Lonchura striata: one gene and its partner. The protein of the gene in region 2 interacts with the protein of the main gene of each other region in a pairwise test. Links are inferred from orthologs where the notes say so. Each region holds a gene or a part of one and is shown on either strand. Other genes may lie near its edges.

Evidence for each region.
Region 1: the proteins of MYBPC3 (region 2) and myosin-7 interact in a two-hybrid assay, tested with the Homo sapiens proteins (2 studies listed by IntAct). The link is inferred for Lonchura striata from reciprocal best matches to the Homo sapiens genes MYBPC3 and MYH7.

The regions. Positions count from the first base shown.
Region 1 is NC_134603.1:70,135,879-70,139,800, forward strand, and holds the start of myosin-7, read right to left. Parts: upstream 2,672-3,922; coding exon 2,471-2,671; intron 2,044-2,470; coding exon 1,900-2,043; intron 1,535-1,899; coding exon 1,378-1,534; intron 1,257-1,377; coding exon 1,229-1,256; intron 1,001-1,228; coding exon 889-1,000; intron 492-888; coding exon 399-491; intron 275-398; coding exon 211-274; intron 15-210; coding exon 1-14. UniProt on the Homo sapiens protein: Myosins are actin-based motor molecules with ATPase activity essential for muscle contraction. Forms regular bipolar thick filaments that, together with actin thin filaments, constitute the fundamental contractile unit of skeletal and cardiac muscle.
Region 2 is NC_134608.1:39,281,873-39,285,794, forward strand, and holds the start of MYBPC3 (myosin-binding protein C, cardiac-type), read right to left. Parts: upstream 2,831-3,922; 5' UTR 2,698-2,830; coding exon 2,673-2,697; intron 1-2,672. UniProt on the Homo sapiens protein: Thick filament-associated protein located in the crossbridge region of vertebrate striated muscle a bands. In vitro it binds MHC, F-actin and native thin filaments, and modifies the activity of actin-activated myosin ATPase.

The DNA of each region.
Region 1 (3,922 bases), on a different chromosome or scaffold from region 2:
CTTCTCTAGGAGGTCTGGGGTGGGGATGAACAGAAAATGGGTGGAAGTTGGGATGAAGAGATGGAGGGTCAGATGGATGAATGGAGGAAGGTTTGAGGATGTGTAATGGTAGATGGATAGTGGCATGACGAGAAGGATGGACAGTTGGATGGAGAGATAGAAGGGATGGTGGACAACAAGATTCCCTCTCATGGACATCAGCCTACTCACAGGTCTCAATGTCAGCTGATGCTAGCTTTCCAGTAGCCCCAAAATGGATCCGGATAAACTTCCCCTGGAAGAGTATTGGAAGGAGGTGGAGGTGGCCACCTTATCCCAGATCAACCCAACCCACAGATCCTTCCCCACGCACTCCACCTCACAGACTCTTCCTCACAGACTCCACCCCCAACACTCACAAATCGGGATGAGTTGTCATTCCGGACAGTTTTGGCATTGCCAAAGGCTTCCAAGGCAGGGTTGGCCTGGATAATCTGGTCCTCCAGAGTGCCCTGGGAGGAGTGGGACAGTGTCAGGGGGGTTTTCACAGTAAGGGGCAGAGGATGTAGGGTGTGAGGTTGAAATGGTTGGATGGGAGAGCACAGCAGTCCATGAATGTTTTTGTGTGTGGTCAGATTGATGGACAGGTATGTGAGTTGATGCCATGGGTGGATGGAGGGACGGTTAGTTGGTTGGATTGTGATGGGACAGATGAATGGAAGATTGGATAGATGGTTGGTTGGTTGGTTGGTTGGTTGGTTGGTTGGTTGGTTGGATGGATGATTGCTTGGATTTTTGGGTGTTCCGCTGGGTAATTGTTTGGGTGGTTGATTGTGTTGTTGGTTGGACAGACAGGTGGCAGAATTTTGGCCAGCCCCTGGGTGTCATTCCCCCACTCACTGTCCTTACCTTGCCCGGGGCCCCTGCCTCCTTCTTGCCACGGTCACCGATGGCAGCGATAACGGCAAAGTATTGGATGACCCTCTTGGTGTTCACAGTCTTCCCCGCCCCGGATTCTCCGCTGAAGGTAGCCAAGGAGAGCAATGGTTGGATACTGGTGCTATGGTGCTGGGGGTGGGAACTCACTGGGGAGGGATGGATAATGGACCTCCACAGGCAAATCCATGCAGTGATAAAGGGTTGGCCTGTGGGCATGATTTCAAGAGGGAAGGGGAGGAGCTATGTGCCAGGTTGGGGGATCTTAGCTGTGAGCAGGATTAAGACAGTGTTTACAGATGAGACTACTCACGTGATGAGGATGGATTGGTTCTCCCGATCTGGTGGGATAAGGAGAAGAAACATGAGGTTCTGAAGCCCACCTTGGCTATGCCCCACATCTCCTGCTCCCCAAAAAGGATCAGGGAAGATGAATATGGGGTCCCTGCAGAAGGTCCCTACCTGTTAGCATATTCTGGTAGGCATTGTCAGAGATGGAGAAGATGTGGGGTGGAGCTTCACTCCGCTTCTTTCCCCGGTAGGCAGCCACCACCTCGGCATTGTAGACAGGCAACCACTTATAGGGGTTGACAGTCACACAGAAGAGCCCTGAGTAAGTCTGGAGAAAGGAGTAGGTGGGTCAGAGTAAGGAGGTGCCACCCTACCAGGTGGTCCAAGGGGTCTGCCGAAACAACCTCTTGTGTCTGTGTAATATCTTGGGTTTAGGTGACCCCTGTGGTCTGAAGAGAGGATGTCCCAGTTCTGTGATCTGAAGAAGAGACATCCTGGTTTTGACTACCCAAAGGGTCTGGGATACCTTGGATCTGGGTGGCTTAAGAGGTGTAAAGAAGGATCATCCCAGTTATGGGTGAGCCATGAGATCTGGAGAAGGGTCATCTTGCACCTATGTGGCCCAAGGGGTCTACAAAAGGAGCATCCAAATTCTGGATGGGGTCTGAAGGACCTCATGGGCTCCCAACTCACATAGATCATCCAAGATGCGTAGCGGTCCTTCAGGTTGTAGAGGACGGCGGGCTCATGGAGGAAAGTCAGCATGGCCATGTCCTCAATCTTGTCAAATTTAGGAGGGTTCTGCTGCATGATCTGGTCCTCCTTGACCGTCACTGTCTGCTCAATGTAAGGAAGACCCAATGGAGCAGGAACACAGGGCAAGGAGTTGCCCCAGTTGTTCCCTCCTAAAGGGCTGGGAGTTGGGCATCTGGGTGTTCCCTTGAGAGCCAGATAAGGTCTAGGTGTCCCTCAAGTGATAAAGAAGATGTTTTGGGGTCTAGGTGTCTCTGAGGTAAGAGAGGAAGTTGGATAGGGTCTAGCTGTCCAGTGGGTTCTGGAAAAGGTGGATAAGGGTCTAAATATTTCCTGGGTTCTAGAGAAGGTGCTGTGGAATCTGAGCATCCAGTAGGTGTTGGAGAAGGCATGTTGGGGTCTAGATGTTTCTTGGATTCTAGAGAAGGTGGGTTAGTTCTTTGTGTCCCAAGTGGAATAGAGTTGCTATTTTGAGGTTCTGGTGTCCCAGGTGTTGCTGGGGTCCCCCCACCTTGCCATGTTCGGTCTCAGCAGTGATCTTGGAGCCCTCACGGCTGACAATGGTGGCCTTGACATACTCCTCCTTTTCATCAGGGACGAAGATATCCTTCTTCAGGTCGAAGGGGCGGGTCTGGGCAGCTAACCGTTCCTTCTCCGACTTGCGGAGATAGGGGGCAGCCTCCCCAAATTCAGCCATCTCCACATCAGGCATGGTGGCGCTGGACAGGGCTGAGTGGGGTAGGAAGGATGAGACCCTCCAAATGCTGTCAGTTCCTCCCAGCTGACCCCATTGCAGCTCTTTCCTTGGTGAACCCATAATTCCCTGTTCTTCTCCACATCTACCACTTCCTCCTGGTCAACCCAACTCCATTCCTTCCCAGTGCTCCCAGTTCCTCTCCAATGCTCCCACTCCTCCCAGCTGGCCCATCCCAAGTCCATCCTCAGTGCTTCCATTATCTAGAATTCCCTCTCAAAGCTTCCAGTGCTCCCAGTCAGCCCCATCCAAAGTCCATCCTTGGTGATCTCATATTCTCCCATTTTTCTCCAGTGCTTCCAGTTTCTTTACAGTGCTCCTAGTTCCTGCCTGTCCTCATCTCCATCCCAAGTTCCTTCTTGGAAGTCCCAGTGCCCTCCCCAGTGCTCCCTGTTCCTTGCAGTGCCTCACTCTTCCTGCCCACTCCAGCACCTCCCAGTATTCCCCAGTACTCCTGCATCCCTCTCAGTGCTTTCCAGTTCCCCTAGACCCTCCCAGTATCATCCCAGACCCCCCCAGTCACCCCCAGTATCCCCAGACACCCCTCAGCCCTTCCACTACTCAGCCCCACCTCTTTCAGTAGTCTCCAAGTCAGAGGATGACAGTGCAGACTCAGGGCAGTTCTGGTCCTGCTCCGGGACACAGCAGCCCCCCCCCGCACACACACAGTATGTCCCAGTATGTCCCAGTATATCCCAATAAGTCAAATTACATCCCAGCATCCCAGCCCAGCCCCACCAGTACTTCTCCAATACACCACCACACAGACACATACACACACACACATACACAGAGTACTGCTCAGTAAGTCCCAGTATCCCCCAGGATTTACCCAGTACCCTCCCTCATCCCCCAGTCCCTTCCAGTTACCACATAAACTCTCCCAGCATCATCCCAGTCCCACCCTATTTCCCCACACATGCTCCCAGTATCATCCCAGTCTCCTGCAAAGACCCTCCCAGTTCCTTTCTAGATCCTCCCAGTCCCTCCCAGTCCCTCCCAGTTCCCCTATAGACCCTCCCAGTATAATCCCAGTCCCTCCCAGTTCCCCTATAGACCCTCCCAGTATAATCCCAGTCCCTCCCAGTTCCCCCATAGGCCCTCCCAGTTCTCCTATAGACCCTCCCAGTCCCTCCCAGTTCACCCACAGACCCTCCCAGTTCCCTCCCAGTTCCTCCCTGTTCTTTCCCAGTCCCTTTCAGTTGCCCC
Region 2 (3,922 bases):
AAAATTTGATTGTTTGCTCTGACACTAAACTCTTACAGGTCTTATGCATTCTGTTGCTCTTGTGGATGGTGTAGAATTTCTAAAATGCAAAGACAATACTTTTGGCATTCTTGAAATAAGTCATGGAGTGCTTTACCCTGAAGTATTTTAGTTGGGCAGTTGAAAGTGAAAGAATATCTACTTCACCATGCCATTTTAAGTTTAATGGTTTATTCAATGATTTTTGGTTTTCTGGTGGGAATTTTTGGGCGGTTTTGTTTATTTAGTTTTTGGGTGGTGTTGTTTTGGTTTTATTTTTGTTGTTGTTGTTGTTTGTTTCCTTTTATGTGTTAAAAGCCTTGTAAAAACGGCAGATATAAGCAGAATATTTATGGTCATTCTTTGACATGAAGAAATTTCTTTTGCCTATACACCAGATGCACAAATTTCAGTAATACAGACTAGGGATTTCTTTGGGCTCTTCAGTAATCCAACTATATGATGTGTGAAAGGCAGGAATTGTGATTTATCCAAGTATGAATTGCCCAGTGGTTATTTGGCCCTCCTGAGATGATGCTCAGCATTATCCCATCTTGAAATGGTTTGAACTGTATAAACAACATGAAATAGAAAACCAAAGGGATTAGTGTCTCCTGGGAGACTGAGAAGATCCTCTCTAAAAGTTGTGGGGCATGTGACTGGTTCTGTCTCGGTCAGAGTGAGTAACAAGAGCTTTTCCTCCCCCTGCTGTGATAATCCCAGTGTTTGGTCTAGCTTGCTCATAAGAACTGCGTGGGACTAGTGATGTTAGACACCTGTTAGATTTCTCTGGAGAAATAAGTTGGAATAGAATTTCCCTTCACCATTAGCCAGCAAAAGTGGGCATCTTCACAAACAGAGACACTGCCTCTCACCCACAGAGAATGAAAATATTTATTAAAAGGCAGTTAAACAATTAGAAATCAGAAGTCATAATGCCAAGGTATCACTGTCAAATTTTGCCTACTCTATTGTATTTATTTTTGTCTGCATTCACAACAATGAGACATTTTCAATAAAACCTAAAAGTTGTATGATTTAAAAGCAGAATATGAGTATGATTTTCTCATTTTTGGAGTGATTACTGAACCTTTGCAGCTTATATTTTCACGTTTATGTGTACAATTACAGGATCTAATATATATTTCTTTTTTATATACAAATCTACTTTAATTAGAAATGGTAACCTCATGAACATGAAATGATGTTATATTTGTAATACAATGGAAGGGTTGCTGACATCACTGTTGTTTTAGGGTTATCATACAGAAGGAACACAAAGAATCTTGTTGGAGTTAACCATGCTTTGGTGCTTTGCAGGTTGTAATGGGGGAGACTCTGGGTGTGTAATAGGTCTGCCTCTGGCAGTGGCTGATTTCAAATGTTTTGGTCAAATGAAGGTTCTTAGCAAGTTCTTTTGTTATTGTGACCATAGGAGATTGTCTCACTGGCCAAACTGAGAGGAGACCAATGCCTGCTCAGGCCTTTGCAAAGCACAAAGGCCATTATTAAAAAAACTCCACAGCTGTCACTGGCTAACTCTGGAAACTGCACATGATTAAAAACATGTGCACCTTCTATTGCACATTCAGGTAGTGGCGATTCTGGGTGTGCACTGGCATCAATGAAGTGACAGCTCTAAAGTGGAGAATCCCAGATTTAGTACAAGTTTCTCCAGGCCTGACTATTGAATATGTTTACAATTGACAAACAATCATAAATTCAGATTTTGTCAGCTTTTTTTTCCAAACTTGTGGATGCAAAGTGCTCCTGAGATGTCTTCCTCTGCAGGTGTCCTGAAGTTAAGTGCCTCTTCCTTTTCTTCCCAGGCTCTCTTCCTCATCAAAACAGCAGATCCATTGCACCTTGTACCCTGTTCTAGGCCTCCTCTATGTGGGCAGCATCTGAGTGATTCCTTATTTGAAGATTTTTAATTAAAACATTCATAAATCTGAAATACTTTTCTGGCATTTTTCTATGTGGCCCTGTGACCTTGGTTTCCTGAAAAGGGCGAGTTATCTTCTGGCTCAAGGAGAAAGAATGAAGAAGGGCAAGAGAAAAGAAATTGCATGTATTCTTCACAGTATAAATCAAAAGCCTTTTTTCCCTAGAGTTCTATTCTCAGTCATTGAAATAAACAGAAAGAATAAACTCTGACCAGGAACTGTTTGCTTTCATTTTCACAGAGATTTCATTCACAATAAGCACCATCAATTTTTTTGGCAATATTTCTTCTACAAATTGTCAGGGGAAAAAAACCCAAACCCGAAATAAAAGCAGGAGAGGTTTGTACTATTTACTGTCCAAGAGAGTCAATACAAGCCTTTACTTATTTTTTTTTCTGAGTCCTAAAGGTGACCAGAAAGGAAAGGAGAAATTAAAAGCATTTGAGAATTAAATGCATTTCACCTCTATTTCTTCCTCATCCAAAGTCTCTTGAGAAAATTCTGTGGCTGAGGTTATCAAAGCAGTTAGTGATTTCTTTTCAAGATCACTCAATATCTCTTACATTTATAACTTAATAAAATAAAATTTCCTTTTCCTATCTATTTATTTTTTTCCATTGAGACATCTCATTTCTCTAGAATACATAATCTACTCACACTTTTCCTGTCAAGCTGTTCTTAGTTTTGTCTGCCAGTTACGATCCTTACCTGTTTTCTTTACCGGCTCTGGCATCTTCACTTTGTTTCTGGTGGAGCTCCCAGCTGCATCTAGGAAGCAGGGTATGAATCACACGGGAATGTGACTGCAGGGCTTTTGAGACCCCCTAAAGAAGCACTGGATGGAAGCCCCCATGCTGCTCCTCCCCTCGATCCCCCCCGTTGTCGACTAGGCACCTTATCAGCAGCAGGACACACTTGACAGGCGACATCAGCCGGGCTAAATATAGCCAAGTTCCAGGAGCCAGGGAGCTCAGGCCACCCAGGAGTGGCTACCACGGGTCTGCTGCTATAAACCAGAGCACAGTGTGATGCTGCACGCGTGTGCGGTGCATTTTCTAGCTCCAGGCATGTATTGCCACGTTTATAGCACATGCAGCAAACTAGATCTGATGGCTACATCTCCTGTGTGCTGGTACCTGCTTAGTCTAAGTGTGCATTTGCTTACGTTCTTATTACTTATTTCAGTTTTTGTTTTTATCATAATTGGGTCAGAGCTGAACAGCCCCTCACATACTGGTTTTGTTGTTTCTTTTTTTAGCTCTTCAGCCAAAGACTGTATTTGTAGAACTAACTGTGAACTTTAAGGAAAGAACTTTCTTTTGCAGAGACACTTACACAATACTGACATTTGCAGTCACAAGCAGAAAGCATGACACTACTTATATAGTTTTAGTCCTCCCTTCCTATCCACCCACTTGATCCACAGCATACGTTTCTTGATAACTAGCAAGTTTGTTTTTTTTTTCTTCTTTTAAATATAATTTTTTAAATCATTCCAAGGTTCTATTTTATACCACTAGAAGTTTCAGTTTTGCTTAATCATATAAAAAAGATCTGGGGGAAAATCTCACTAGAAAATTATTCTTGTATGGCCATTTCATGCTCCAATCTTTGCTTTTTACTTATTCATATATTTAGCATATGGCAAAATAGTAACTGTGGACAATCATTCTTTTATTATCATGATGTTTTATCAATTTTGAGTTTTAAGCTTTGCTAGAAAAACTCTGGAGGCTGAACATAGAGCATATTTTAGCCACCACTAGTATTGAAAAAATAATTAAAAAAAAAAAAGGTGTGGTTTTCATTTTTCCTCCAGCTTTACTATCTTGTAGAAAACAAATTTTAAAAGTATTTCCTCTTTTGGCATGAAGTTCAGAATAGACCAGTGTGCAAGCAGCTCATCAGTCACTGTGCTCTGTGTCTGTCTTTCACATCTGACTCCCTCAGTAGGCTGG